Tamandua tetradactyla: one gene and its partners. The protein of the gene in region 2 interacts with the protein of the main gene of each other region in a pairwise test. Links are inferred from orthologs where the notes say so. Each region holds a gene or a part of one and is shown on either strand. Other genes may lie near its edges. The genes, in order: THAP1, TPM3, TNNT1 and HSF2.

Region 1 (7,190 bases), on a different chromosome or scaffold from region 2:
CCTTCTAAAAACAACAATGCAGAGTTATGTTTGAATTGAGTAACTAAAAATACAGGTTAAAGAATTAATCTGTAAAATTTAAGAGATATTAGACTGCTATGTGAGTCCATGGTTAGCGAAACTGTCCAAAACAAGAAAACAGTTTAAGTTTTAGTTATACTTTCCTACCTGAAGTAAAGCATGATGCAATAAACAGGCAGAACAAGCACTTCAATTTAATTAAATATGTACTAAGTGCTTAAAACTGAGGAACAAAAGACTATGGGCTGATAAAGAAAAACCCAAACTTACCAACATACAAGAAGGGTTATAGAATGATCTTTAAGTTACAAAGTCAATATATGTTTCTAAGAAAGAAAATATTTATTTAATAAACTGCATCTTATGTTTTTAAACAGTATATTTCTGTTAATAGTAGTTATTTATAAGTAATGGGTACTAGGTAGTATTTATTTTCTTAACATTACTCTGAATTTTCCAAATTTCCCACAATACATACATTAGTTTTATAAACAGGAAAGCACCTAATATTTTAAAACACAATTACCTTGTCATGTGGTTCAGTACAAAGAAATATCGTGGGTACAGCGTTCTCTTTCAGTAACTTGTTGTTGCATTCCCTCTTAAAGCAGTCTGGAGTAAAGTGCTCTGAACAAATACTGCTATATTTGGTGGGTTTAAAGTTTTTCCTTCTCACAGCTGCCTCCCATTTTTTACAAAGACTGGGTCGTGTAAGAGGAAACCTAAGAAGATGACATAACTCAGTTCTGTGACATTATTAAAAAAAAAAAAGCACTACCTTACATTGGTGTTAACATACTAAAGAACTTTTGTTTAAAGAATAGCTCCATATATCTATTTAGCTCATTGATTAAAGTTAACTTTATTTGAAGACACAAAGTCTCAAACAATATACTTGTCATAAAGTGAATTTGTAGTATTGTTTATACCAGTAATTTTCTGTACGTATGTGTGTGCTGTAAAATAAAGTTGCACATTTATATCTATGTGCTGGGAAGAAAACTCTTCTAGTTCTCAAGAATTAATCTGATAAATATGAACAGATGGAATTTGAATTAATCAAATTATAGGCGAATGATAATGATAAAGAAATAAAGAAAATTATGTCTTTATTTTGACTTACTTCTTAAGTAAATGGAGTATCTCCCTTAGGCCCAGATAAAGGGAGGTAAGAAGAATTTAAATTTACTGTAATTTTATTTTCCAGGTCAAAGATCTAGTAAACCCGGAGGATTTCAAAGAAGCCAAAAAAGCATATTTCAAACCTATATTCTATTCTACAGTTTCTCTTTCATCTAAGGTATGCCAGGGCCTTACTGCTATTATCATTAAGAGCGAACTGATCTTAATGACAATCGCCCCTCTTTGTCCAGCACAGCTCATCCTGCTGTCAACAAGTTTAAACTGGGAGAAAAGGTACTTCTAAGAGGGTCCCTGCTGCATATGGCCTCCTGAACCAAGGTACAAATTCTCAGGTTGTGTGTGAGGTTCTGTCAAGATCTTTCCCATCTCAATGGCTGAGAGATTCCAAACAGAGTCGAGAGGTTATCCTGCAGGTTATTCTCATGCATTAAGTAGATGTCACCTTGTTATCTAAGACGAAATGGAGAGGCTGGAGGGAACTGCCTGAAAATGTAGAGTTGTGTCCCAGTAGCCATGTTTCTTGATGATGATTGTATAATGGTATAGCTTTCACAATGTGACTATGTGATTGTGAAAACCTTGTGCCTGATGCTCCTTTTCTCTACCTTGTCAACAGATGAGTAGAACAAATGGAATAAAAATAAATAATAGGGGAAATAAATGTTAAAATAAATTGTTTGAAATGCTAGTGATCAATGAAAGGGAGGAGTAAGGGGTATGGTGTGTATGTTTTTTTTTTCTGTTTTCGTTTGATTTTTCTGTTGTCTTTTTGTTTCTTTTTCTGAATTGATGCAAATGTTCTAAGAAATGATCAGGATGATGAATCTGCAGCTATGTGATGATATTGTGAATTACTGATTATATATGTAGAATGGAATGATCACATTTTGGGAATGTTTGTGTTTCTGTAATTTTTTTAAATAAAAAAATCATAAAACAAACGTTTTTTCATAAAAAAAAGATCTTTCCCATCTACTTCCCCAAATACTGTTTAGGTAAGGGGTGAGATGCAGTTAGCTGTTCTTTAGAATCAATCGTTTTAATATCCAGCAGAAATTCAATGTTTCTAATGTGTGAATGTCATCCTTAACCACTTTCCAGTGCCAAGGAAGAGTTTTTAGATTCCCTCTGAGGTGAGGTATCAACAGAAATGCGTGGATGGGGAGCTGAATGCAAACGATAGTGGCACTATATCTGACCTATTCCTACTGGAAGTCAATGTCATTAGGGTTCTGAGATTACAATAAATCAAGAGATATTAGGCTCTACTGAACTGAATCCTGCAAGTATTCTATACCCTCCTACGTGAATCTATGTTCTAAGCTTCCATTTCAAGATCTACATTCTAGGCTCCCATTTCTGTAGCGTCAATCTCACATTATATCAAACAGATTAAGATCATCCACATCCCCGACTAAACATAAACAGTATGTAATCCCCACTCTCTATTTCCCCCCACCCCAAAGAATACTTAAAATTTGGCTTTTGTAATTATTTGAATATGAAAAATTTTTGATATTTTACTATTTGCTCTGATTTCTCAGCTATCTATGTAGATTCGGAAGCTCTCGCAAAGAAAATTTAACGTAAATTTAAAATCTGTAAATACTAAGTTTGGCTGAATAAAAATGCCGTCATGGCCCACGCTGTAGACATTCAACATCAACTCAATTTCGATTTTGTAGTTTTCCCATTGAGAAGACAATATTTTTCGCCATAAGGTTGTAATTGCAGCACCTACTGGATAAAACAGCCCTGAAGGCTGCGAGGGCTTCCTCTATGTTCCCACAGTACCTCATATTGACCTTTATCACGGCATTTATTATGGTCCATATTACGACTACGGTGTGCTGAAAAGACAATCAGTTATCGTGGCAGTACCAGAAGCTTTCCTCTAAGACTTAGGAGTCCCTGACGTTGTTCCTTTGAGTTAAATAAAAAATTAATAAAACGCTCCCTCAAATCCTGGCCAGAAAATGAATCCATACTGCTGCGATTCTGGCCGCCCATTCACAGAAAGTTTCTCAGGAACGAAAAACTGACGTCCACCGTCTTTGTAAATGTCTTTGTTTCTATTTCAAAAACGCCGCTGAGGAGTTACCGCCACCTCACTCTGCAGGGCTCGGATCTGAGAGCCTCGACATCTCAGCACCCGAGGGGACTCGGCGCCTCGCCCACGGGCTCGGAACTCGCCACCACGAGTCCGTCAGCAAGCGACACAAGTGCGCCTCTCCGACCACGAGTAACGGTCACCGCGGCAACGCACCGCGAACGCGCGCGGCCCGGAAGAGCGCGGCTCGGGCGCAGGAGCCGCGCCTCTCCACGAGGACCCCCGCCCGGCACGCCCCCGACGCGGCGCGCCCCGCCCCTGCCTCCGCCCCCTGCTCCTGCCTCCGCTCCCTCTTCAGTCTCAAAGCAGACCCGCGCCGGGCTCCGCCCCCGACACTAGCCGATCGCGCGTCCCCAGTCCCAGCTGGGGCCGGTCCCGCGAGGCACGGAGGACACTTACTTGTGGAAAGAAACGGGCTTATCCTTATCATATCGGTTCTTGCAACCGTAGGCGGAACAGGACTGCACCATCCTTCCGGTCCTCAGTCAGTTCACTTCTGCCGTCACGGCAGGCAGGTGAAGCCGCTATCCGTGTCGCCGCCTTCGGCTTTGACACCCTTGTTTCTTCTGTAGCTTTGGCCAACAGTTACAGTGATGGTAGCCTCACTCGGGTATGAGTACCGCGCCCGTTCTGTTGCTTGCTATAACAGAAAGACCACAGCCATCGCCCGTCTCCCATCTCCAAGATGGCGGAGGCAGCTTCAACTTCACCTCTCGCGAGGAGTTCATTCCACTCTCACTGATTAGCTCCAAGGTCAGAGGTAACGTTTCCTGGGAAGCAGGCGATTGGCTGAGACAAGACGTCTTGCGCGTTGGGGGTCTACGTTGAGGAAGTGGGCGGGGTCCCCGAGTTTTTTTGCAGAGAGAAAGAGGGATTAGGGGAGAAGGGTAGGCTAGGGGCGCGAGAACTTGGCCCAAGCTCCAGTTACTCCTGGAGTCTCCGTGGGTAAATTTGTCCAGAGTTTTCCTGGGGCGTTTTAGGATGAGGAACAAATATGGCCTTTTGGGTCCGAGGACCTAAAGGAGACCAGAGTGTAACGCTGATGTGGTTTTCTAATTGCGCTCATCTTTTGAAGGATGGTCACGGGTGGTATATCATTGGTAAACCTTCGCAGACCCCTTTTCCCGAGCCCTAATCTTGTCCTATTACCTGTCTTTCCAGGTATCCCAAGGCCCTGTGAAAACCCAGGTGACAAATTTTTAGCGATGTAAGAAACCAAACACGCACACACTCCCACGTGTTTGGCCTAATCCTCTCTGGCTTCGGTGAGCCATTCCGTTGCAACTAACCAAGCAAACCCGCTTCTGAAGGCTGTTTCTACAGTGATCTCCAGCTGCTGTGCTGGAAATCACGAAGCCCTACAGCGATTATCTCATTGAAGAAAGGTCTTAATCTTCCTTCTTCCTTGCTCCCCTCCTTTATGTAGATCAGAGTCTGGAAACCTAGATATTGTGTTGAGTAATTTCAGACCTCTTTCTGCCTCTCTTAAATGTGATGTTTCCCATGTGATGTGATCCTCTGCCCTCCTTGTAAACACCCTGCTCCTTCACCTCAATCAAATGCCATGACATCCCAAATATGTTATTTCTTAAATATGTGTTATGCCTTCAGTAGTGTCATCTGTCAATTGTCTATTCAGTTGGTCAAGCCAGAAACCTTGGAGTTTCTGGGATTTCCTTCTTACCCGCCACATCCTCTGATCACCAGGTTATCCTATGAAATAAAAACCTCTTAAATCCATCCTTTTGCATCTCTTCTGGCACTGGTTCTTGATCAGGCCCCACATAGTTTCCTTCCCTTCCTATTGCTGCAACCTAACTGTCCTAACGTCAGGTTTTGCCTCTATTCAGTCCGTCCTCCACAGAAACAGATTATGTCACTCCACTGCTCACGTCCTTCAGTGGCTACCCTGGCAGTGTACTGAATAAAGTCCAGACTTATGGGGACACAAAGTGCTTTAGGACTGGATACTCCTCTCTACTCTTCCTTCTATTTGTCCTTAAACTGTTTTTCAGCTTCATGTCTTACAGAAGGTAGGCTTTCTCATGATTTCCTTAAATAGGCTCTTTCCCTTTGCCAGAAATGTCTGTCCCTGACCTGTCAACTTTTAAGATGTGATCTAAGTGTTTTCAAACTTTCCCTACCCTCTTTGTCCTTTTCACCATAGGCATCTCTATTATTTTATTTATTTTTCTTAACTTATGATCATTTCATTCTATATATATAATCAGTAATTCCCAATATCATCACATAGCATCTCTGTTATTTTAATGAAATCCTGTTTTTTTTTTGCAGGTAAATTTTTTATCAGCTTTATTGGAGTATAATTTACATAAATTAAAATTCACAAAATTTAATTCTGCAATTCACTGAGTTTTAAAAACATATATGGTTGCATAGTTCCTGTTACAGTCATGACATAGAACATTTCCATTACTGCAGGAAGTTCTCTTGTGCTTCTTTGTAGAAAATTCTTTCCCTCACCCACAACCTTTGGCAAACATTGATCTGATTTCTGTCAATTCTGGAAATTGATAGAATTTTACCCTTTCTAAAATTTTAAGGTACCCGCACTTATTTTTCTATTGCAGTTATAAGCCCGCATAGTGTAATTTCTGTGTACGTCTGTTTTCTTCACTAGAACTATGATCCTGTTGAGAACAGGAACTGAGTCTTTCATAATCTTGTAGCTTGCAGTGTCTTGCATAAATTAAATATTTAGAACTTTTTGGTTGAATCAACTGGGCCCAGAAACTAATTCTAAAATAGTGTAAGGGCCATATCCATATACAAAAGCACCAGAATAATAGCTTATTAGCATTCCAAGTGGTTATTGAGACGGGTGGTAATTTCTTCTGTGGTTCCCTGTGCAATAAATGTCAGAATGCGATAACTGAACTGAAAAAGTACGTTTTAACTCGGAGTTCACTGAACTATTTACTCATCAATTGATTCAACAAATATTTACTGGACATCTGCTATGTTCTATACACAGTTCTAGGGGTTTGGGATGCATAAGTGAGTGAAACAGGTTTTTGCCCTCATGGAGCTAATTAATTTTAATGAGGGTTGGGGAAGGCAGAGAGGAAACATAAGCAACCACATATGTTGGGCGAAAGGTGCTACATGGAGATGAGGGATAACAGTTTTAAATATAATGCAGAGGCCAGGCCTAATTGAGAAAGTCACATTTGAGCAAAGATTTGGGGTTGGTGAGAGAGCTAAGGGTATCCTGAGGAAGAACCTTGCAGGCAAAGGGAATGGCTAAGGCAGAGTTCATAGGGTCACTGTGTTCCTGTAATGTTTAAAGAGCAGCACAGAGGCCTATGTAACTGGAGCCAGATAGACTGGGGGAGACGAGAGATGAGGTCAGAGAAAACCAAGGAACAAGATTATGTAAACCCTTGTAGGCTAGTGTAAGGACTTTGGCTTTTACTCTGAGTGAAATGGAAAGCAGGGTTTGATACAATCTTTTAAAGAGATCTCTACTGTGTTGAGTATAGATACTGGGACAACTAGGAGGATAGGAGACTGGTTATAAGGCTGCTGTGGTGATGTAGGTGAGAAATAATGGTGACTTGGGAAGCAATGAAGGAGTAAGAAGTGATCTTTCCTTGTGTACTCTCCTGCCTTTTTTCCCCCTTTCGTTTATTTATTACTCTTTATTTATTCAGCCCCTACTATTGTGGCAGATGTTATGCTAGGTCTAGAATATATTGGTCAGCAAGACAAAGTCTCTGTCTGCATAGAGTTTATATTCTAGTGAGGGGAAAACAGTCAGTAAAAATGTAAATAAAATAACATTGTGCTAAGATGCCTGAATACAGCAGAATGCTCTAAAGGTGACTTAGGGGAATGGAGAGTCACTACCTGTTTTAGCTGGGATGGTTAGGTAGTTTGTCAGAGTTGGGAACAT
Region 2 (7,878 bases):
GACTCCCTCCTCCTCCTTCCCTTCACCTTACATTTACAACAAGGTAATATGCTCTATTTACTTATTAATCTCAAGGGCAAAAGCTGAGCTTTTAACTTCCTTTATACTGGACAGAGCATCGTTCCCCCAAAGATGCATATATTATGCTGCGTATATTATGACTCTAACTCTTGCTCTCCATTTTAAATCCATTGCCCCTTCCTTATTTAGCCCATAGGCAGAACTGTGCTAACCCCCGCTTTGAGAAAAGAAGGCTTTTCTTCCTGCTTCCATTTTCAACCCACCCGAACAGACTTTGGCTTCATACCCACAACCTTCCTGTCCTATTTCTTGTTCTCTCACGTATCTCTAAGAATACTTCTTGGCCTGTTGGGAAAATTAACACAGGGGAGAGAGGTTTTGTCCCCACACTCTACATGTGTCATTGGTTTTTGTTAGATTCCTGTATAATTGTGAGGAGGCGTCTTTCAAATGAATATACTGAGTTGACCATATCTAGGTTGGGGTGACGTGGTTGTGTGTGTGTATGAGTGGTATGTGTGAGAAACAGTTAATATTCATCCCCAGGAAATTTCTTTATCTTTCTGATAATATGACTATATTGTCTAGAGCCTCTTTTTCCCTCTCCCTCTCCCAAGATCTCAGGTTAGACTTGTTTGGTTTTATTATTTTCATCACTCCTGGAAAAATCTCAAGCACACATGCTAGCTGTTTCAGCATAAGGACTTTCTCAGACAGTTAATACCCAACATCTCACAAAAATGTTATTAACCTAATATTGTGGCAGTTTTTGAGAGCTTCTATCCCCATGACAGCTTACTGGATCCAGGGAGTCTATCTGGAAACTAAGATCGGGCAACTCTAGCAGATCATCAAGCACTCGCCCAAAGCCCTGGGTTTTTTTTTTTTTTCTTCCAGTTTTTAAAGAAAGGATAATTAGTGGTTTGCAAAGCTCCAAACATTTGGAAACTATGGGTATATATAATATATATTATCCACTTTCTATGTGGCATCATATATTCAACTGTTACCACTTCTAGAGGCACTGAAAGTAGTGGAAATCGAAAGAGAAGATCTGAAACCTAATAGCAAAATGGCTGAATGTAAGGATCTGAACTTATTTGTGAATGCCCACTCTGTCCCTCTAGCTAGTTCCCAAATCCAAATATGATTTTCAAGTAACACATGCTCCTATTTTCCTGTTAATTCAGTTCTCTGAGAATTGTTAACTCAGTTCCCTCAGAATTGACTGTTTCCATCAATACTACGATATTCTTCTGTCACTGTTAAGATTCCTAAAGTACATTTCTCCCAGGAATCTTTCCTATCTAGTCTCTCATTTATTTTTGTGGTAAACTTCAAGGTTGAAGATGAAGGAAGCTAGGTGAATGGAGGATAATATGAAGTGGAAAAGAGGATTTATTTCATTTTCAAATGGGAAAATTCAGCCCTTGAGAAGCTGAGTGATTTACTCAGGTTCATAGAGTAAAGTCTGGTGGTGATACCCTTATACCCTAAGATTACTTCTTAGCTTCTATTATAGTCTAACACTATATGAACCTCCCTGCTGCCTTATGGCATCTCCTGGCATGAGGACAGATGTCCAGATTGGCCAAGATAAATAAATCCATACAGGGCCAGGGTCAGTGTGTCCTCTTAAGCCCATTGTGAAATCTGAGCTGTTTTGGGGGAAGCTGGGAGATGAGAGATTCCCTATTAATACACATATCTATGTGCCAAGTTTTGGACACAAAAGCTAAGAATGTAGCATGGGGGAGGAGGTAAGAGTATCAGCAGCCTGGACTTGGAGTCCCTTCCCTTTGTCTAGTTCCTGGGAAAGAGAATTAAATTCCAGGAGGCATGAGGGTAGATAAAAAAAAATATGAGATTTCTATATGTCTTAAAAAAATAAATATATATACCATTATGAGGGTGTTCTAGCATGTTATTATATGCAAAGATATGAGCGAGTATATATTTCTGTCTTCTGTGGACATACAAGTATGTATATGTTGAAGTCTGTGTGGAATTTAGTCATACATTAATGTGAACATCTTTATATAGAGATTACACCATCCCCCATCTAATACTCACATCAGCTGCCTTCTTCTCTGCCAGCTCCAGCTTCTCTTGGGCATCCTTCAAAGCCTCAGAATATTTGTCCAGCTCATCCTCTGTTCCTTTCAGCTTCTTCTGCATGGCTGCTAGCTCATCCTCCAGCTGCAGGAGTCCAGAGAGACACACAAAAACACACATACATAATAGTGCAGCCTTGGACTCTTGGCTCTTGAACGCTAATAGACTCTTGAGTTCAGCCACCATTTTACTATCCAGAGAGACACAATTTCTCTCTCATCATTTTTAGCCCCTGCCCCAAGAGTTATGCTATGACTTGGCCTATGTCTTTGTAATCTCTGACCCTAAGATGACCAAGCCATGCTGGGTTTTCATCTAAGACCCTGGGATGGCAAATATTATCTAAGAGTATAAATGTCTGTGACTCCATTTAAGGAAAAAGAGATGCTGCACGCCAGGCTCCCACCTTTTCCTCTAAAAGTCAGGGATTCTTCCAAAAGATGGTCCATTCCACTTAAATCCTTAGCACGGGCCACTGATTTTCCCAACATCACACAGGTAGTTTGAGGCAGATGTCCTCTGGCCTTCAAATGAGATTGGAGAAAAAAGTCCCTCCTACCCAAAGAAGAAGGTGACAACAGTGGTCTCTTCCTTTCCCATGATAACTCTCCCGTCTCACTATTTTGTTGACCAGCATGTAAGTGAGACCAGTGCCAGTGCCTACCTGTTTACTTCTTTCCTCTGCCTGTTTCTGCTCGGCTTCAGCTTGCTCTGCCCGATCCAGAGCATTCTCCTTGTCCAGCTTCAGCATCTGCATCTTTTTCTTGATGGCCTCCATCATGAGCGGTGGTTATTGGTGGGCTCACCTGGAGAATTGGAGACTAGGTCAAGAAAGGAGGGGCTGCTGCCTGAGTACCTAGGAGTTGCCTAGACTTGAGCCTTTATATCTGCTCTCAGCTCCACCTCTTGTTCCTAACATGGTCTTTCCAGCTCCCTCCATCCCATCTTTGTTTTCCTGGGGGAACACAGGGTGAGACACTTTGATAGACTGACATCACCAGCAAAGAAAAATTTGGGAACAGCTGAGGCTGATTTTAGAAAATGGAAAGTGGGGGAGGAGGCTCTCCCTGAACCCTGAAACTTTCCACTCATTCTGGGAAGCACTATGGTTGTTTTAAAAGAGCAGGGAGAGGGCCAGGGGAAGAGATAGCATTGATATCAGAGAAGGGGACTTTGGAAATTATAGAATGGCATTGAGTTTTCACCCAGAGTCCTAATTGCCCCTCAGCTTCTCCCTTACTCTCACCCGGACTGAGCTGGATACTGATCAGACTGCACTGTTTTTTTTTTTTATCATTTGATTTCTGGTAGTCAGGGAGCTTTGGCAACAATGAAGAGGGGAGGTCATTCATGATCCTTGACAAATCCCCCAGATCCCCAGATCGAATTGCTGTGTTATTTTGGGAATCCCTAAATGGCGGGGTGGGGGGCGTGGACATCTTCCTCCACCCTCCACCCACCCCCCACCGAAGAACCACAGGAATGGAGTAAGAGGGTAGGTTGGAATCTGGAAGGCCATCCCAGAGCTTGAAGTAGGGTGGGGAGAGAAGCAGGGGAGGGTCAGAGTGGGCGCGACAAGATAATACCCTCTTCTTCTCATAGTGTCTTTTAAATAGAACTTTTGTGCCCATACAGACCAAGGTTTTACTGGTCTCTACTCTTCTTTCCCCTCACCCTCTGCCCTTCGTACACCCCACCCCCCACCACTCATATCACAATCAGCAGCAGTAGCAGCTCTGTGCTCCCTGGCTCAGTTCCAGGGCATGTTCATTCTTCCACTTGGAACCTTTTTGCTAACAGGTGGCAGTTGATCCCAGTACACTGGCGCCATCCAACCTGAGAATACGCCAGGGGAGAGGTGGACACTGCTCAAGGTGACCAGAGCTATCAGGGGAGAATATAAATGTCTCTAATTAGTCATTATATCAAAGCTAGATTGAGAGTGTTAATGCTAAGCCCCAGCAATGGGGAAACGGAGATGACCTCCAGGGAAGATGGCAGAGCTGGAATCCACTTCTGAGGGCTTCAGTCACTAAAAGTAGATAAATTGATCATCAGATGTTTCTTGAAGGAAAGCATAGAAGCCCAAGGAAGTAGGGAACAAAAGAGTCCCAGGGAGTAGCAAATGATAAGGTGGGAGACAGGCTGGTGGGGGTTGAATAAGGAGGAAAAAAATACAAGGGCAGGAGGAGATAAGGAAAAGAGCTATATCACCTTTGTCATCCCACTCCCACATCAACACTTCTGTTTAAGATTGAAATCATCATGGGTTTTAGCAATCGGTCATCCAGAAGGGGTCCTGGAAAGAAGAGGTTCACTAAAAAAGCTAAGAATCACAGAGCCCAGAGGTTGAGGTAGGATAAAGTATAATGCTGAATCGCCAACTGCTGTAAGAATGTTTGACATTTAGTTGGTTTCTAATTAAACAACCCAATATCAAACATATCAGACAGAAGCGGGCAGGAAAGCTTTGGTGGTCATCTGCCTTCCTCCCTATTGCAAAGAACAGGCAGTGCAGGTGAACTAGGCATCGATCATAGCTAGATGGCTGGCTTTTGCTCATCAGCTCTTCATGCCATCCCTGCATTTGCTCCTCTCCTTCCACTGCTCTGGCCTTTACTGGATCACGTTGCCCTAATACCAGGGAGGATACCTGGCAGGGCTCCACATCCGGGCACCTATCCTCCTCAAAAGCTCCACAGAGCTTCTCCCCCTCATGTCACGGCTGCAGGACTCTGAGGATCAGCAGTGTCAGCAGCTTCTCCTCAGCCTGCGACTTGCTCTCCTCCTCTCTAATCCAAGTGTCCCGAGGCTTTCCATCCCAGAGGGGCTTGATACCCTGCTATATCTTTTCAATAGAAATCCTAACCTTTCCAGATCACCCCCACAAGGCTGCTGAGGTCCATTCTGGCATCCTCCTGCTCTTAAGTGAAATAGCCAGAGAAATTCCCAATTGCTTGATTTCTTTTTTCCAACATTTTGTCCCTTCTCACCTTCTCCCCATGTCCTCCAGGCATCTTCCTTAAAACCACCCTTGGATGTCCAAAACAGAGGAGTAACTAGTCTCACAAGCATCTCTCCAAGTTTGGCAGCCTCCAACCTAAGCTCAGAGGAGAAAACTTAGGGTTTCCACTGCCTGGCAGGATCAAAACTAAGACTAAGAGACCAAGGGAAAGAAACCCCCTCTACCAGGGAGCAGCCTGAAGTCCTTGGGACCCTCCTCCTCTTCTCTTCTTCAGGACTTTTTGCCACAAGAACACCAGTGCCGGGGCTGCTTTCTCCAAGGGTGTTCCCTCACAGGGATCTGGCCTGGTTTCCTTCTGGGGGATTTTCCTTCCGAAGAGAATCAGATCTGTTGAATGTCATGTGGCAGGCAGATGCTTCTCTACACTGTGGCAGAAAGGATCACGGGTTATACCAGTATGTGGGGGTGGGGTGGGGGTCTGGGGTAGAAGTGTGGGGATGGGGGAGGAGGCTGTGCTGCAGCCTCAGGGCCTGTTCCATGTGTCCTTGTTCCCATTAGTGCAGATACCCATTGCCCCTCCTTCCCCACACCAGCTCTCCCCTGCCCTTCAACTGGATCAATACCCTGCCCCAAGCCCCAGTCAATTTCTGTTGTGTGGCTCTTGCCCTCCAGGGGAAGACTAACAGCACCCAGCTAGGCACTTGTGGTATTCTCTCTCTCTCTTTTTTTTTTAATGCAATTTTATTGCGATACATTCATACAGCACAGAACCCATCAGAAGTACACAATCACTGATTCACAGCATCATCACATGGTTGTGTGTACAGCCCCATGATCAAATTCAGAACATTTTCGTTACCCAGTAAAGAAATAAAAAGAAAAAAGAAAACCTTAAACCTCCCATACTCCTTATCCTCACAGATTATTGACCCATAGTGTTAGTGTGGTACATTTGTTACTGTTTATGAAAAAATATTAAAAATTGCTATTAACTGTAGTCCATAGTTCGTAATAGGTACATTTTTTTCCATATACCCCTCTATTATTATCTGCTTTAGTTCATGAAAGTACTTTTTAATATTTGTACCGTTAATCATGGATGTTGTCCTGTGGTGTTCTCCCTTTTTTTTTTTTTTTCCTGTGATGTTCTCTTATATCCTTGTTCCTTCATGGCTCCCAATGGGGGTGCATGTAATTTTTGCTTTCTTGCCCTCCCTTTCCCTAACCCACCCCCCAATTTCTAATTCCCTTCTCGGAGAACTTTGACCACATTGGATAACCAGAGGTTAAAGGGAGGCAGGCTGGGAAAGGAAATGAAAGGACTTTAGTGTTCAGGGAAATGGGGGACTGGAGGGACAGCCTGGGAATACGGAGGTGGGGGGGAGCAACTCTCTTAGAGGAAGGAGACTTTGACTGGACGGCATACAAGGCAGACACATCAGATGGACTTGAAAGTTGTCTAGCTCTCCTGCAAGGTCCTCTTCTGCAGCCATGTCAAACAAGACTGAACCCTTTTGAGCCAGAGAAGCTGGGTGAAGGCACTAGTTTCAGATGGAAGAAGGGCTGGCTGGGCATGAGAAGGTGAACTACTTCGTTGATTTGATGAGAGCAGACAGAGTAGAGCAATAGAATCAGAGGAGAGGGGCTCTCTGGGAGGGGCAGCCTGCCAATACTGGAGCTAGCCTGGCATTGACAAGCCCTGGGGAGAGAGGCCAAGGTCAGGGATCAAGGCAGATGGGGTGGGGTATTCTGCATGTCCAGATGAACAAAGGAAAGAGGAACAGAGGAATAAAAGAGGTTCCTGAGGAATGTGGTTTAGGTAGGAGCAGCCAGGTAATGAAAAGGAAATAACAGAACATTATTATAGGGCAGGAAGACATCATCATGGGTTACCATTATTTGACATTATGTGCCACCTCCCCGCTAACTGCTTTATATAGTCTCCATTGCAACCCAATGAGGTAGAAATAATCTCCATTTTACATATAAGCAACTGTGACCCAAAAAGTTAAGACCACACAGCCAGTGACAGAGCTAGGATTCAAACCCAGATATGTTCAATGTTAAAATCTGTTTTTCTGACCAAGCTACACTACTTATATGAAAAGCAAAGAACAGCCTGGGATACAGATACATAGGAGGATAAGAGAGGAGGTGAAGGCAATATAGGCCTGCTGAAAAATAGAGGGCAGGGGAACGGGCAGAAAGGATGGGAGACTCATACAGATTTGTGGGTTAAATTCAGGCTGTGTGTGGCTTTGTCTCCTGAAACTCACCTCCTATTTGTTGTGACTTGTTCAATGTCTGCTTGCCCCCACCAGCCTGTGAGCCCCATGTCTTGTTGGGTGTAAGCATCCATGAGTAGTTACTGACTGAAGATAAGGGGGCTTGGGAAACCGTGGTGACAGGGACTAGGGGGTGAATGGGTATGTAGCACAGAGAGAGGAAGAAGAATGGGATGGAGAGTGACATTTGATCTGGATGAGTGTGCTGGCTGGAGGGTCAACAAGGAAACTATGAAGGGTCACAGGGAAATCTGAATGGGAAGGGGAAGATACCTACTGTACACAGTAGGTATCTACTGTGTACTCTGTCTATATACATTATCTCATTTAATCCACATAATGATCCTGTGAGATGGCACGATGTCTCCAATTTCAGAAGAGAAAATTGACGGGCAGAGAAGTTAAATAACATACACAACAATAAAGAGGTGAAGCCAGGATATGAATCAACACCTGGCTCCAAAGCCTATGCTGTCCTTTATATGTCCTGCC
Region 3 (6,928 bases), on a different chromosome or scaffold from region 2:
GGCAGAGAGGTGGAGGTGTCAGGGGCTCCGGCGCGCGGAGAGGGGGCCATCGCAGGCGGGCGGGGGCGGGGCCCGGGGCGGGGCGGGGCTCCGGCGCGGGGAGGGGCCCTTGCAGGCGGGCGGGGGCGGGGCGGGGCTCCGGCGCGGGGAGGGGGCCTTCGCAGGCGGGCGGGGGCGGGGCGGGGCTCCGACGCGGGGAGGGGCCCTTGCAGGGGGGCGGGGGCGGGGCGGGGCCGCACCTGCTCTCGCCCCCCTCCCACTGGCGGAGAGGCACGCGGACCCCACCCTAAGGCCGTCCCTTCCCGACTCACCTTCGGGCTGCTCCCTGGGGGCAGGGTGGGAGGTGGGGGGAGAGAACGGAGGAAAGGGTTAGAGGGGTGTGTCGTGGGGGGTCTCGACGCCCCTCACGCCAGGCCACTCACTCTTCATATTCCTGCTGTTCGGTGTCCGACATCTTGGGGTGACCTGAGGACCAGAGAGAGGAGCGGAGTCGCAGGGAAGCAGGGGCTGGGGGCCTGGACCCCCGGGGGTGAGAGAGGAGGGACTGGGGGATCCCCGGGTGTGAGGGAGGAGGGGCTGAGGGAACCTCGGGTGTGAGGGAGGAAGGGCTGGGGGACCCCCGGGTCTGAGGGGGGAGGGGCTGGGGGACCCCTGGGTCTGAGTGGGGAGGGGCAGAGGGACCCCCGGGCCTGAGGGGAGAGGGGCTGGGGCCTGGACCCCCGGGTGTAAGAGAGGAGGGGCTGGGGGACCCCTGGGTCTGAGTGGGGAGGGGCTGGGGCCTGGACCCCCCAGGTGTGAGAGAGTAGGGGCTGGAGGAACCCCGGGTCTGAGTGGGGAGGGGCCTGGACCCCCTGGGTGTGAGGGGGAGGGGCTGGGAGACCCCCGGGTCTGAGGGGGGAGGGGCTGGGAGACCCCTGGGTCTGAGGGAGGAGGGGCAGAGGGACCCCCCCGGGCCTGAGGGGGGAGGGGCTGGGGCCTGGACCCCCAAGCGGCAGAGGAGCACGGGTTCTGGAAGATGGCCCTGCAGGTCCAGGCACCACCCACCGTGCAGCCCCCGCCCCCACCCCAGCTGTCCCCTTTTGTCTCCTGACAGGTCCAGGGGAATCTGATCTGAGCTGGGATTAAGAGGAGGTATTTGGGAAGGGACAGTGGCCTGAAGACAATAGCTGCCCCACCCCAAGGGCTATTTTGAGGGTTGGCGTAGACTGTGAATCAGAGGACATTTCCTAATAAGGGATGCGAGAATGGGGGGCTTCTGGCAGGACTGGTGATACCTCTTACCCTGCCCCCACCTCCCCTGCACCCCACTTGGCTGGGGGTCCTCCCACCTGTCTCCCCTCTTCACCTTCGTCCACCGCCACTGGGGATCATCAAGGGCAGCTCCTGCCTATGACCTCATCCTAACCCCTAAATACTTAGGCCCCCCCCCCAATTTCTGAGCTACCCCAGGTTCCAAGGTGCCCAGGTAAAGAAGACACCCTCTCCCCAAATCCCAGTCCTCCCCGATTCTGAAACCCCATTCATTCATGACGCCCCTGGATTCTGAGCCCTGCGTATCTCCAGGTTCTGCGCCCCAATTCTGGGTACTCCAGATAATGAGCCAGTACAGATGATGAAACCCCAAAGCCCTGATGCTCAGTTCGTGAAACTCCCAAATTCCATGGACTCAAACGCTAATACTCCCATCATAAAACCCCAGATTCTGAGAACCCCCAGGCCTGATACCCCAAACTCTGATAGCCAGACCTTTTGTCCTCCAAGTCCTGACACCCCCAATTTTTTAGATCCACCCTGCCTCTGGGACCTCTGAGTTCTTAAGGTGTTAATTTCTGGAGCATCCAAATCCTGGTGCCCCCCAGATCCCCAGAACCACCCAATCCTAATACTTTAGGATTAAAGTAAAGTCTGAACCTCCTAAATTCTCAGATCTCCATCTTCATGTCCCCTCTCCCTCCATACCTCGCCGCCCCTCTGCTGCCCCCTCCCCAAAGACATCCATGTCCTGGGGAGACCCCAGGGCCCTTTTACCTAAGGCGGGTCTGCGGATGCTGTAAAGGGATGAGCTGACCACTGCCGAAGGACCGAGGCAGCCCACGGGTTTATAGTCCCAATGGGCCCCGCCCCTGGGGGGGGCTGGGGGGGCAGCATTCCTTCCCTCAAACACTAGCGCCCTGCCTCCGAGGCAGGCTCCTCAGCCAGGGTCCAGGCCCCTCCCCCACCCCCTGGGCTCCCCGCTGGGCTCTGTGTCACCCCATGCCTGGAAGTCTCTGGACCTACACATAGGAGGCCCTTGGAGGGAGGGCTGGGTGGGGCGCAGCCCTCCCCATGTCTCTGGGCCTCCGTCTCTCAAACCTTGCTTGCCATCCGTGTCCTCCTTTGTGTGTCTGTCTCCACTCCTCAGTGCTTCCCTCTGTCTCCCTCTCCCCGCCCCCACTGCTTTGTCCTCCACCAGGATTCCACTCTGATGACAACAGGCCTAAAGCTGGGAAGCAGGTGTATGGGGGGGGCAGTGTCCATAGGGCCTGGCGTGACCTCGGCCCCCCGCCCCCCCAACTGACAGGGATCGGCTTGGGTAAACCTGCCCTCCCGGCCCAGCCCTGACCTTGTCCCCTCGGGGAATCTCCTGGCTCTGCATCTGTGTCTCGGGTCTCTCTGGGCCTCTGTGGTTTCCCACTCTGTGTGTCTCTCTGACTGCTTCTGCCCCGATGTCCCCGTTGTTGACTCTGGATCTGCCTCTGTGGGGGCCAGGTGTGGGTCACTCTGTGTCCCCTGCTCTGTCTTTCTGGGTGACGGCAGTTCTCCCTCATTGGCTCTCTAGCTCTGCCCCTTAGCGGGTCTCCACCGCCTCTGCCTCCCTGTGTGTATATGGCTGTCTCTCTTTGCACTTCTTTCCATGGTTCCGTGTCTTCCTTGCTCTCTCTCTCTCTCTATGCCCCTCCGTCTGCCTGACTCCGCCGGTGTGCTCTGTCTGTGTCTGTGTGTCTGTCCCCCAGAGCAGAGGGGCCGACAGCACCCGGAGCGCGAGCCCCGCCCTGCCCGTGCCCTGGACTCTCCTGTCTATCTCACGCGGAAGTCCTGGGGGAGTAGACACGCAACCACTCCCAGCTCAGAGAGAAGCTTTATTCCTCGGGCCATCCTCAGGGCCAGGCTGGCGGGCAGGCGGGCTCAGCCCTCAAACTTTTTCTTGCGGCCCTCCATTCCACTCAGCGCGTCGATGTTCTTGCGCCAGTCTCCCACCTCCCGGATTTCCTGGGAGAACGGGACCAGAAGTTAGGGTCTCTCCCTGACCTCTGGCCCCTCAAGGAACCCCACGTGCCCTCCTTGCTGCCGAGTGGCTCTACACTGGATGCCAGTCCAAGGGCCTGATTCGAGAACATTTCTTGCCCCCTCAAACAATGTCTGTCAACATGCACTTCCTGTCTCCGTCATACGCTTCCCGTTTTCCTTCATGTACTTCCTGTTTCCCCTCACGCACTTCCTGTTTCCCCCACGCACTTCCTGTTTCCCCTCACGCACTTCCTATCTCCCTTCTGCACTTCCCGTTTCTCCTCGTGCATGTCCTGTCTCCCTCCTGCATTTCCTGTATCCTTCATGCTTCTCCTGTTGTCCCCCTGCTCTTACATCCGTGCATAATTTCTCTCTTCTATGATACTTTCTGTCTGCCCCTCCCTCTTCCTGCCCCCCTGCTTACTTCTCTTCTATTTAACTTGTTTTTGCTTTCTTGACCCCGTCCTGCACTTCTTGCCTCCTTGATGCTTCCTCTCTTCCTGTAACATTTCCTGTCTTCCTCTTGCATTTCCTATGTCCCTCCTGTACCTGGCACTGAGGACCCCTTACCAGCTGCTTCTACCCCAGACTCCGTGCACCACCTCCTTGGGTTATGCCGTAGGGTTGCTGACCCCCAGAGCCCAGGGACCGCAGCACCACACTCACCTTCTCCGTGTCCTCCTTCTTCACCTGCTTGAGGTGGGCGCGCAGGTCCAGGGACTCCTTAGCCCGGGTCCCCAGCAGCGCCTGCATCATGGCATCCGCAGAGATCTTCACTCTCTTCAGGGTGGGTCGCTTAAACTTGCCCCGAAGGTCGAAGATCTTCTGGGTCAGATCTGCGATCTGGGAACCACATGGGGATCTTCCCTTGACTACCCTGTCATCCGGCTTTTCCACCTACATCCCCTGCCTTGCAGTACCCAGGCTTCATCCAGTCCCCAGCTCAGGCTCCCACTGGCTTCAGGACAAAATCCAAACTCCTCATCCTGGAACGCAAAGCTCTCTCTGATCTATCACTTCCCGCTCCAGACACACATTCCCACCATCGCACCTTCTGCATCCCGACTGCTGCCTGGTTTGCCACAGGCTGCTCCCTCTGCCAGGAACACCCCTTCCTGGCCATTTTATACTCATCCTTCTGTCTCCTCCCCACCAGGTCCCCACAGTTTTCCCGGGTCTGCCGGGGACTGCAACCAAAAGGGGCTGCGAGAGGTTCTCCCAAGACATCCCACCCCGCTCTGACGGGCACCCCAGCGGCCCAACATCACCACCTCCTTAACGTTCTTGGTCACTTTTGCCTCCACGTCGTATCTCTCATCATCCACCTTGTCCACGCGGGAGTGGAGCTGTCGGCACAAGTCCTGGTGGAGAAGGAGGGTGCATGGGGGGCGGGTGGACGCTGGGGGCCTGAGTTCCTGGGTCTGACACAGGAGGGGCTGGGGGAGCAGACTCTTGAATGTTTAGGAAGGAGGAGACTGGGCCCCTGGACATCTGATCCTAAAAGAGGATCCAAACAAAGGGTGCTCGGAGCCAAGAGAGTCTGAGGGTCCTGAGCAGAAGGGGTGAGAGTGACTGTCCCAAGTGCCCAGGGGTGCAAGACCGGAGCCCGGGTCCGGAGGGTCCCAGGCTGCGTAGGAGCCATGTCCGGCAGCCAGTACCTGCAGCTCCGCCAGGCCGAGCCCTGCCAGCTCCAGGGGCTGGCACCGGGCGCTCAGGGCGCGCCCCTTCTCCCCGCGCCGCTCTTCCGCCTCGCGCTCCAGCTCCTGCTTGGCGATCTGCAGCATCAGAGTCTGCGGGGTGGCAGGGGGACCGCAGCCCACCCGGGTGGCCGGATGAAGGCTCTCCCCGGGGGGAGTCGCCTCTGCCTTGCCCTCTCATCCCAGGCCCTGTCTTCGGGCCTCCAGGGACCCGCCCCCTCAACCCGGTTGTGGGGGGTGCTGACTCAAGCCACGCCCCTTCAGCACTGCCACGCGCGAGCCCCGCCCTCACTCGGTCCAAAACCACGCCCCTGGCGCCCGAAGCCCACTCTCAAGCCCCACACTCCCTCCCTCTCGAGTCCCGCCCCCCCCCCCGCCCCCAGCCCCGAGCACCGCTTTGTCCCCTCACCTTCAGCAGCAGTTTTCTCGACGCGGTGATCTTGGACTTTTTCTGCCGCGGTGACATGCGGTGGGAAGGAGCAAAGAAAGGTGAGGGAGGAGGCCCCGGGGCAGGCGGAGGGAGGAGCTGCAGCCCGCGCGCGCTCCAGGCAGGTGCGGGTTTCCACGCAGCTCAGCCGGGCCCACCCGTCCGGGGCTCCGGCCCCGCCCCGCCCCTCCATCGTGGGTCAGCCGGGGGCCCCCGAGGCGGCGCCCACCAGTCCCAGCCCGGCCTCCGCGGGGCGCAGTCCCCGCCGCCCCCGCCCGCAGGCCCCTCTACCCCCATGGGCGCCGTCGCCGCTGCGTGGGCCCCTCACTTTGGCGTGCGGCTGCGTGGCGTAGGCGCGGTAGTTGGCTGAGGAGAGGCGTCGGATCGGGGCGGGCGCGGGGCCCTGGGTAGAGGGAGCGGGGCTGCGTCACCCCGGGGTGCCACCCTGCCCTCCCCAAGCCCTCCCCAGGGGTTACCCCGGCCTCGCGGTCCCAGCCTGCTGCTCTCACCGCATCGCTGCCCCTGCAGGGAGAGAAACCGGGGACAGGGACTTGGGTCGCGCCTCCTCCTTTTCTAAGCGACCCCAGGGCCCCTCTGACCCGGAGGTCGTGCCACCGGCTCCCCCTTCATTAGGTCCCAGGCGTCCGGCTCCCTCCCCTCCACCTCTGGACAGACGTCCCTCGCCTCGCTCAGGGACCCGGGACGCGGCCCCCACGTCTCCAGCCCGGGACCCCAGGGTGCCGGGCCTCCACCCCTCACGCACTCATCCGCCATGCCGAGTCTCAGGCCCGGATCTGCGAGGGCCAAGAGACAGATCCAGGGGTCTCAGAGGGTCAGTGAGGGGGCGCCCGGGTGACCTTGGAGGTCCCTGGGTCGCTCGGGTCCCTCTGGCTGCTCAGGCGTCCCGAGGACACTGAGATAAAGGACGAAGGACAGAGACTAAATATACTGCGCCGCCTCCTCCCTCTGCCCAGGATGCGAGATAACGGGGCGCGTGAGGGGCGGGGCTGGCCGCGCTCCAGCTGGATCTCCCCGCAACCTTGGCGGCCGGGGCCCCCTCGCCCAGCAGACCCGGCAGTCCAGGCCCCCAGCCCCTCAGTAAAATGCAATGTCCTCTAGAAGGGGACGTCGCAGGACTCCAAAGTGGGGGTTTCGGGGAGGGGGAAGGGGGGCCATCCCCGGTGGGTGGCGGCAGGTGGGGGTGAGGCGTGATCAGAAGCCCCATGACAGCTAGACCTTAGTCTAGATCTTTTCCCGTCCGGGTCAGCACCCAAACCCTCAGGAAGTTCTTCCATTGTGGATCCAGGCGTGGGGGTCCCGGCGCCCACCCCACAGCCCTTCAGACGCCAGCTCCAGTTCACGTGGAAATCTCGTCTCGGGTCTCCCCTCCTCACTCCCCAGGCCCCTCCCGCCACCAGCCGCTGGAGACAGCCTGGGCGCCAGAAAGACACACGGACACTCGGAGAAGAGCACTCAGCTGTCTTTACTGGAACCTGTTGGGGGCCGGGCCGACCGGGCAGGAGAGCCTGCCACCCTC
Region 4 (7,667 bases), on a different chromosome or scaffold from region 2:
AGAAAATGTCCCAAAAGAAAAAAGGAAAAAAAAAAAAGCAACTTCCATGGGAAGACTATGGGAATGAGTGAAATATGCACAGTATATGTTTTCTTAAAGGCATTCTGAATATATAGATGTTTCTATTATTTTAGGGTCAAAACATGTAGTATAATAATTTTGGTTGCTCAGGATATATTTCTACATTTAATGATGAGAAATTCACTTTTCAATTCTGTCCCATTATATGTTTCAAGGAAAACTAAAGTTATCTTAAAGTTTTCAGAAATACTAAGCTAAGCTTTCAAAACTTCAGTTAGTAGTTTACTCCCCTTGACTTGCACTCAAGCTAGACAAGTAAATTATTTTTCATGACTAGAAAAAATTTACATAGACGATTGATTGCCTGGTTTCCAAAACATCTGCTGCGTCTAAAAAAAACTTAATATATTTTCTCTTAGATAGTATAAATGTTAAATTACCTCAACAGTAAGTTTAGCAAAACGAGTCTGAAGAAATCCAGAAGCAACCATAAATAGCAACTTCTAAAAAATGGGAGCAGCTTAATTTGTTCTTCCATCTAACATCACTATTTAATTCAAATTTTACCTTTCAGTGTTAACATGGGTTTTAGAAAAACGCATCCAAGAGCAACAGTGAGAGATCGCAGCCCTAAGTAACTAGTTTAGTCCTAGATAGGATTTATCCAGAGTTGTCCACAGACTTGTGAAAGTGGAGGAACAACATTTTGGTATAAACCTAGATATCCTACCAACAGGCATTACGTGTAGTGCTGCTGATGGAAAGCCTATTTGGAAGCTAGGACATCTATGTTAGAGTCTTACCTCCAATCTTGGTTGGCTGTGTAATGGATAAGTAATCGAAACACTGTAAAAAGCCTCAAATCCTCATCTACGTTAAGGATAATGCTAAACAAGATGATCTCTTAGATTCTTTTCAGGGATAATTCTATCTTTATCATTCTTACCACTTCCATTACATCTACTATGGGGATTTCATCCATGCATCAAACATTTACTAAGCACCTATTTTATCACGGGGATAGACACCGTTCCTTCCCTCATGGAGTTCAAATTTTAATTATCCCATTGGTGTATTAGAAAATGCATAGTTAAAGCTAAGTTTAGACTTAGTAACAGGACAAACAAGAATGATTTTACGTGACTGTTTATTCATAAATGATGTATTTATGAATTAGTATGAAACTCTCCACATTTGACATTTTCCATAAAATAAGAATACTATCAAGATATTTTGGTTAATGAGAATATATTAGACCTGCCACTGACATAATATCCTTTAAATAAAACCAACGCATTTGGGAAACATTTCTAGGCAGCAAAAATAAGGCTTATACAAACCAAAACGGTATGATCAAGTTAGTTGGGGGAGGGTGGAGTGTGGTGGAGAATCTCAGTCCAATCTCTATCATGAACACATGGTTGAATAACAGCAGCCTGTGCTGATCCATTCTTGTCAACTTTTAATCCTTCTGACTGATGAGAAGCATGAGACATCTGCTTATTTTTAAGTACATGCTGGCTCCTGGCTTCCTTACTTCCATCTTTCTTTGTAGAATTGTACAGAATTCATCAAATGTTTAAGAACAGAACATAGGATATAACGTTAGGTCCCCCGGGGCTAAAATGATGACCCAGGTGACCATACTGACCTCAAGAAAATTAAATCCTAGGAGTGAGATAAAAAATGGACAAATGACAGAAATACAAGGCAAAACGTGGTGCTACAGTATCCCAAACTACATGTACTAAATATTGTGTTTCCTGATGGGGGGAAAAGGGAGGAAGGGATATAACATTGACTCAGCATAACAAGTGCCAGGCACTGTGCAGGTAGTTTTTCACTTACTTTTCTCCAGAACTCGACACAGGAAAATATCCCAAACTGATTATTCACAATAGGAGAAATCTACTTCCCAGTACAAACTGATCCCAACAGCCTAGGAGTGGATCCTAACGTAAATGCACGGTTGATGTAAATATCTACCCACTCTTAGAATCTCAGTATTTGGAACTGGAAGGGGCTTTCCATCTCTCCTAGGCAACCCACTCATCCTGATAAGAGGCAGGCCTGGGGGCTCGACTCCGGTCATCCTTGTTCAGTGGCAGAGCTGGGATCAAATCAGTAATCAAGACATTCATGTATCACTCAGCTCGTAAAGTGGAGTGAAATTTGGTGATTCATTTTAGCTCCTAAGTTACTGAATCACCCGTCTAGTCACACTTCTATTAAAACAATCATTAAAAAGCTGTACAAAAGGCCGAGAGTCCTCAAAGAATCATTTTTCACTTTCAACGTAATATTTCAAAAACCTACTGGAACGCAGTAACCTCGGTTTGAACATTTGCCTCCTTTCCGCAGACGCCGGGCGTAAAGCGCCGTGCGCGCTTCTGCGAGGAGAATCAGGTGCCGAGGCGAAGATCCCCCCCGACAGAGCCCCGCGCGGGCGACCCCGGGCTCTCGGCGAGCCACGCGGGCGCACGCAGGGTGCGTGGGCAGGAACGTGCTCCTGCGCTCCCGGCCGCCGCCTCCCGCGCCGGTTCCGAACGCGCCCCCGGCCGGACCGTTACCGGGCCCCGCGCGGGCCGCCCCTCCCCCACCGCGGCCTGAGGCGGCGGAGCCCGGCCCTGCCTCCGCGGCACCCCGCGCGAACAATGCCAGGGGTCCCCCTCGCGGGCGAACGCCCAGGCGCCGCGCCGCCCCAGGCCTCGCAGAGCGCGTCGGGCCGCAGGCCGCGGGAGACAAACCCGAGGTGAGGGAGAAGAGAGGAGGCGGCCGTTCAGGGGTCCCCGAGGCCGCCGTGCCCCGGCCCGTACCTGGCTCCAGGTGATGAACTCGTTGGTGTGGGCCTCCTCTACGAGAGTCCACAGCTTGCTGAGGAAAGCCGGCACGTTCGAACTCTGCTTCATTGTTAACGAGGCGCAGGGATTCCGAATTCTAGCCCCGAACGCGGCGGCGGCAGCGGCAGCTGCTCGCCGAGAACGCCCACCACGCAGGCGCAGCGGCGCGCGGGCCCCGCCCCCTCCCCCACCCACTGCCGGCCGCGGCAGGCGCGCGGGGAGGCCCGGCTGCCACACGTGACGGACAAGTCTCAGCGCTGGACCCGCGTATATCGGTCCCCCGCCAGTCCGGTTCCTGGCCAATCCCAGGAGCCGATCGCGGCGACACCGTAAAGCGATTGGGTGTCGCAGACGTAAAGGGGTGGGAGCAGAAGGGGGCGCTGCCTGCTCGTTCGCCTTTTATAAGGAGCGCTTCGCGTAGCGGACCTCAGGTTTAGGGGGCTGGTTGGTTGCCTCTCGTGGGGACAGCTTTGGGTTCCCGGGCTGTGGCTGCGATCCTGTGAAAACTCCCTAAAGGGCCTTTGAGTCATAAGTTTGGCAGGCAAAGTGTGGTTTGCACCACGGGAGGCAGTAGTTTCAGCATGATGTGCTAGGCCCCAAATGGAAACAGTCCTAAAAATAATGAACCTTGTCCTCGTCCTTAATTTTTCATTGGGAGGAAGTGGCTCCTTTAAAATGTTTATTTAAAAAAAAAAACTCATTCATTGCTAAGCAGCTATTATTATGAGCCAGGAGCTGTCATAAGCATCTTGTATTTTTTCCATTCAGCAAACTTCCAGAGCTCACTGTAGCTCGGCGTGGAAAGAAATAGCCTCATTCATACTATTGTAGTCAATTAAAAAAAAAAGTTCCTGTATATATATTACAGGTATACTTTTGCTTGTTTGAGGTAGTTTGGTTTAATGGAAAGATGTTGAACAAGAAGTCTGCAGATCTGAATGTCAGACCCAGCTTTGTGTATACTAAATTACCCTGGTGTGTAATTCAGAGCAGTCTCTTAATCTATCTGGCCCAGTCTACCCCATCTCTTCATTGGGAATAAGAATATTTGTTCTTTCAACCTTATTAGTGACTTTAATAGCCTAATAGATGTGAAATGCTTTGAAAATACCAAGTATTCTACCAAATTATACTTTAAAAAGTCAGCATGGAAATATAAGAATTTACAAACCAGTCAGGGATGATAGTTAACATTTTGTAAAATATTCAACAAAGGATTGTTTTACTTTCTGGGTACATGTAAATGTGTTAAAAATAAAATTTGTACATCTTCTGATGAATTTTTCCATCAACCACTAATTATTTATTGAATATTGCCTTTGTATTCAGCACTGGTCTGTTTTCTGAAGCAAAAATCATGTGTGTCAAGGAGAGGGGAATGTAAGAACTAATATTTCATAAGTGCCTATATATGCCAGGGCTTTACATATATTATTTCATTTCATCCTCACAGTAACCCAATAAGCTAGATCTTACTATCCATTTTTTCCAGTGAACATTCTGGCTCCAAAGTGAATTAATTTGCCTGTAAGGCATTTTGAGCATGGTCTATCTATGGTGGGCAATGGCTAGATTGGTAATCTGGGTGGGTGGTTAGAGCTGCTTTTAGCCTACTTGTATGGCTTTATCTATTAAATTCCATCTAAAGAAAAGTTGTGGGTTGATGCAGGCAGAAATCACTCGTTCCGCTTTTGTAGTACAAAATTGTACTACGAGATGTACGTACAAGATTGTATGTTGTAGATCTCCTCGATCTGTGCAGTCATATAGAGCTCCATGTGTAGTAGCACCCTGCACTTGGTTTAGTGCTTTTATCACCACCTAGAAATTCTCAATTTTTGAACAAGGGTCCCTGCATTTTCACTTCACACTTGGCCCTGCAAAATTGTGATATCCTCTAGACCAGTGATTCTCTTAAGCATGCATCTGGATTGTTTGGAGATGGCAGATGGCCAATAAATAAATTAACAAGTGACACAGGTAGTTTTTTAATACTCATAAGACTAACTAAGAGCATAAGTTATTAACCAGATAAGGAAGCCATGGCTCTGGGAAATTAAACGACATGTTCAAAACCACATGGTTGATGTGCTAGTTTGAAAGTGATGTAACCCCAGAAAAGCCTTGTTCTTCTAATCCTGATTCAATACTGTGGAGTGTAACCTTTTGATTAAGTTGTCCCCATAGAGTTGTGACACACCCAAATATGGGTGTGACCTTTTGATTAGAGATGTGACCTCACCCATTCAAGGTGGGCCTTGTTTAGTTTATTGGAGTCCTTTTAAGAGAGGAACATTTTGGAGAGAGCTCAGAGCTGACATAGACAGAGACATTTGGAGATGCAGAAAGAAAATGTCCCCAGGGAAGCTGTTTGAAACCAGAAGTCAAAGGACCAGCAACGGCCAGCCACGTGCCTTCCCAGCTAGCAGAGGTGTTCCAGACCCCATTGGCCTTTCTTGAGTCAATGTATCTTTCTCTGGATGCCTTAGTTTGAACATTTTTATGGCCTTAGGACTGTAGACTTAATAAATCCCCTTTATAAAAGCCAACCCATTTCTGATATATTGCATTCTGGTAGCATAAGCAAACTAAAAGAGCTTAGGTAGGAACTGAAACCATATCTTTCTTAGTTTAAATCATACGCTTTTTTCCTTTACACCAGTGAGTCTCAAATTTTATCCTACATGAGGATCACCTTTAGGCCTCCCTCTTACCTCCAAGTTTCTGATTCAGTACAGAATATTAAATTTTTCCATACAGAAAATTAAATTTTTCAGTACAGAAAATTAAAAATAATTTGCGTTTTTAACAAGTTCCTAGGTAATGTAAGTGCTGCTAGCTCCTGGGATACCTATAAGAACCGCTATTACAGAGACAAAATTAGTTAACTGACCTTTTCTTGCTAGCATGTACAGACTTGTTACCTCTTAACAAAATCTAGACATTCCAGGAATAATTGTAACCACCTACTGTTTCATTTTTCTGTGTACTTAATTCTTAACTTTTATTCTAATTAATAACATGTTCTGAAAACTTTATTTACTAGAGACATGTTTGGGGAAAAGAAAATAATTTATTGGCTTTTTCTTATTTGTAAAACTGAAAGGGTAAGAAAAACAAGTCAACCTTTTTATTTCACAAATATTTGTCACCTAAAATGTTCCACAAATATCAGAAGAAACAGATCTGAGGCAGTGCCGACAGTTTTGAAATGTTTAAAATATTAGAGGGTAAAAGTATCAGTTTCTTAAAGTGAGTTATCTTCTATTAACTCCAAAGAAAAATATTGGACTATTTCCATGGGTCATTTGCATGGAGTTTAAGATTTAGAAAATTTAAAATAATGTTAGAAAACACAAGTGACCTAGGCCTTTGCCCAAGAAATAGAAAAACATATTATGGAGCAAGGTGATGCTTTAAAGCAGCTGATTCAGATTGCTATAAATTCCATCCAATCAGTTATGTCAAATTTAGAATCAGTAGTGCAACTAGAATCAGTTTTTTAAGATTATTTTCAAGGCTGGGATGATTGAACTAATGGTAAACTCATAGAACTTTCCGCCTACATTCCTATCTGGACATAGTGTTCTCTTTCCTCAATTCTGGAATGACCTAGAAGAATTTAGGCAAGCCACTTAGCATCTCTGAGCCCTAGTCCCTTATATATAAAATGTTAATTAAAATATCTGCTGTAATTACTTCACAGGATGGTTGTCAGGATCAAATAAATAGCTTCTTTCTCCGCTTCACCCTCACAATCTCTACAGATATTTTTCTATAAGTCTGAAAAGGTCACTTGCAGACTTAAAACCTTTCAGTGGTTTCCCGTAATTTTCAGAACAAACCCAACCCCCTTAGCATGGCATAAAAGGTTTTCTGTTATCTTTGCCCCACCTACTATCCCAGTCAAGGCCTACCATTCATTACAAACACCTCACAGTTAGCCACACCCAATTGCTTGATGACCAGGCTCTTTTACACTTCTGTGTACTTCTACAAGCTGTTGCTTCTAGCTGGAGAGCCTTATCCCTACCCACTTCCACCTCAAGTTTCTCCTTAACCACCTCAAGTACAGTCTATGCAGAGGTCACCTCTTTTGGAAAATCTTCCCAGGTGACCTTTATTACAGCACTTACCACATCTTATTGTAATGATTTGTTTACATGTATTTTCTTATACTAAAGTATGAAACTTTAACGTAAAGACTATGTCATATTTATGTTTATTTCTATCTACTTATCTATAATGGCTATCAGACAGCCTGGTACAACTTATTGAATTAATCAATGAATATATGAACAGAACTAGGCACCATCATCCAGCCAGGTATGTGCTAAACATTCCTTTAGTCTTCCTAAGCTAGATTCGTTATTCCTCCCATATGCTATCATAGCTTGTGGAATTTGACCACACTTCTCTTGCTTATTTACTTTTCAGCAACCCTTACTAGACCAGCAGAGTGAATAAAAGGTTCACTTTTCTTTTCTTAGCACAAAGCACAGCTAATGACAAAGTAGCTACTCAATAAATATGGGTTGAATGAATAATTTCAGTTTTTTGAAACCCTTGGGGAAAAAAATACTCTGCCTAATAAGAGGGAAAACCCCATACAGTTATTAAATGTCAATCCATATAAACTTGTTGTTTATAAGGGAAGAAAATTAAGAAAAGGAGAGCTTAAGGGTAGGTCAACTGAGAGACATATGACCTGGGAACTATTAGAAGAGCAAGTAACAGAATCCTAGAAATGACGGACATTGATAGATTGCTATAGGAGGTCCAGGTTTGAGGTTATTTATGTTTTAA

The links.
Region 1: the proteins of TPM3 (region 2) and THAP1 interact in binary tests that used the Homo sapiens proteins (3 or more experiments, as listed by UniProt). The two-hybrid records come from large-scale screens. The link is inferred for Tamandua tetradactyla from reciprocal best matches to the Homo sapiens genes TPM3 and THAP1.
Region 3: the proteins of TPM3 (region 2) and TNNT1 interact in binary tests that used the Homo sapiens proteins (3 or more experiments, as listed by UniProt). The two-hybrid records come from large-scale screens. The link is inferred for Tamandua tetradactyla from reciprocal best matches to the Homo sapiens genes TPM3 and TNNT1.
Region 4: the proteins of TPM3 (region 2) and HSF2 interact in binary tests that used the Homo sapiens proteins (3 or more experiments, as listed by UniProt). The two-hybrid records come from large-scale screens. The link is inferred for Tamandua tetradactyla from reciprocal best matches to the Homo sapiens genes TPM3 and HSF2.

What each region holds. Positions count from the first base shown.
Region 1 is NC_135329.1:18,331,018-18,338,207, forward strand, and holds the start of THAP1 (THAP domain-containing protein 1), read right to left. Parts: upstream 3,010-7,190; 5' UTR 2,998-3,009; coding exon 2,906-2,997; intron 744-2,905; coding exon 548-743; intron 5-547; coding exon 1-4. UniProt on the Homo sapiens protein: DNA-binding transcription regulator that regulates endothelial cell proliferation and G1/S cell-cycle progression.
Region 2 is NC_135330.1:7,154,276-7,162,153, forward strand, and holds the start of TPM3 (tropomyosin alpha-3 chain), read right to left. Parts: upstream 3,001-7,878; 5' UTR 2,918-3,000; coding exon 2,801-2,917; intron 2,221-2,800; coding exon 2,095-2,220; intron 1,928-2,094; exon of another isoform or gene 1-1,927. UniProt on the Homo sapiens protein: Binds to actin filaments in muscle and non-muscle cells. Plays a central role, in association with the troponin complex, in the calcium dependent regulation of vertebrate striated muscle contraction.
Region 3 is NC_135342.1:4,549,647-4,556,574, reverse strand, and holds the start of TNNT1 (troponin T, slow skeletal muscle), read right to left. Parts: upstream 3,003-6,928; 5' UTR 2,808-3,002; coding exon 2,603-2,807; intron 2,177-2,602; exon of another isoform or gene 2,029-2,176; intron 466-2,028; coding exon 423-465; intron 326-422; coding exon 312-325; intron 1-311. Other genes in the region: TNNI3 (troponin I, cardiac muscle), read right to left, coding at 3,166-3,249, 3,934-4,110, 4,539-4,628, 4,926-5,057, 5,374-5,415, 5,868-5,913, 6,155-6,165. UniProt on the Homo sapiens protein: Troponin T is the tropomyosin-binding subunit of troponin, the thin filament regulatory complex which confers calcium-sensitivity to striated muscle actomyosin ATPase activity.
Region 4 is NC_135331.1:183,474,712-183,482,378, reverse strand, and holds the start of HSF2 (heat shock factor protein 2), read right to left. Parts: upstream 3,018-7,667; 5' UTR 2,931-3,017; coding exon 2,838-2,930; intron 1-2,837. UniProt on the Homo sapiens protein: DNA-binding protein that specifically binds heat shock promoter elements (HSE) and activates transcription. In higher eukaryotes, HSF is unable to bind to the HSE unless the cells are heat shocked.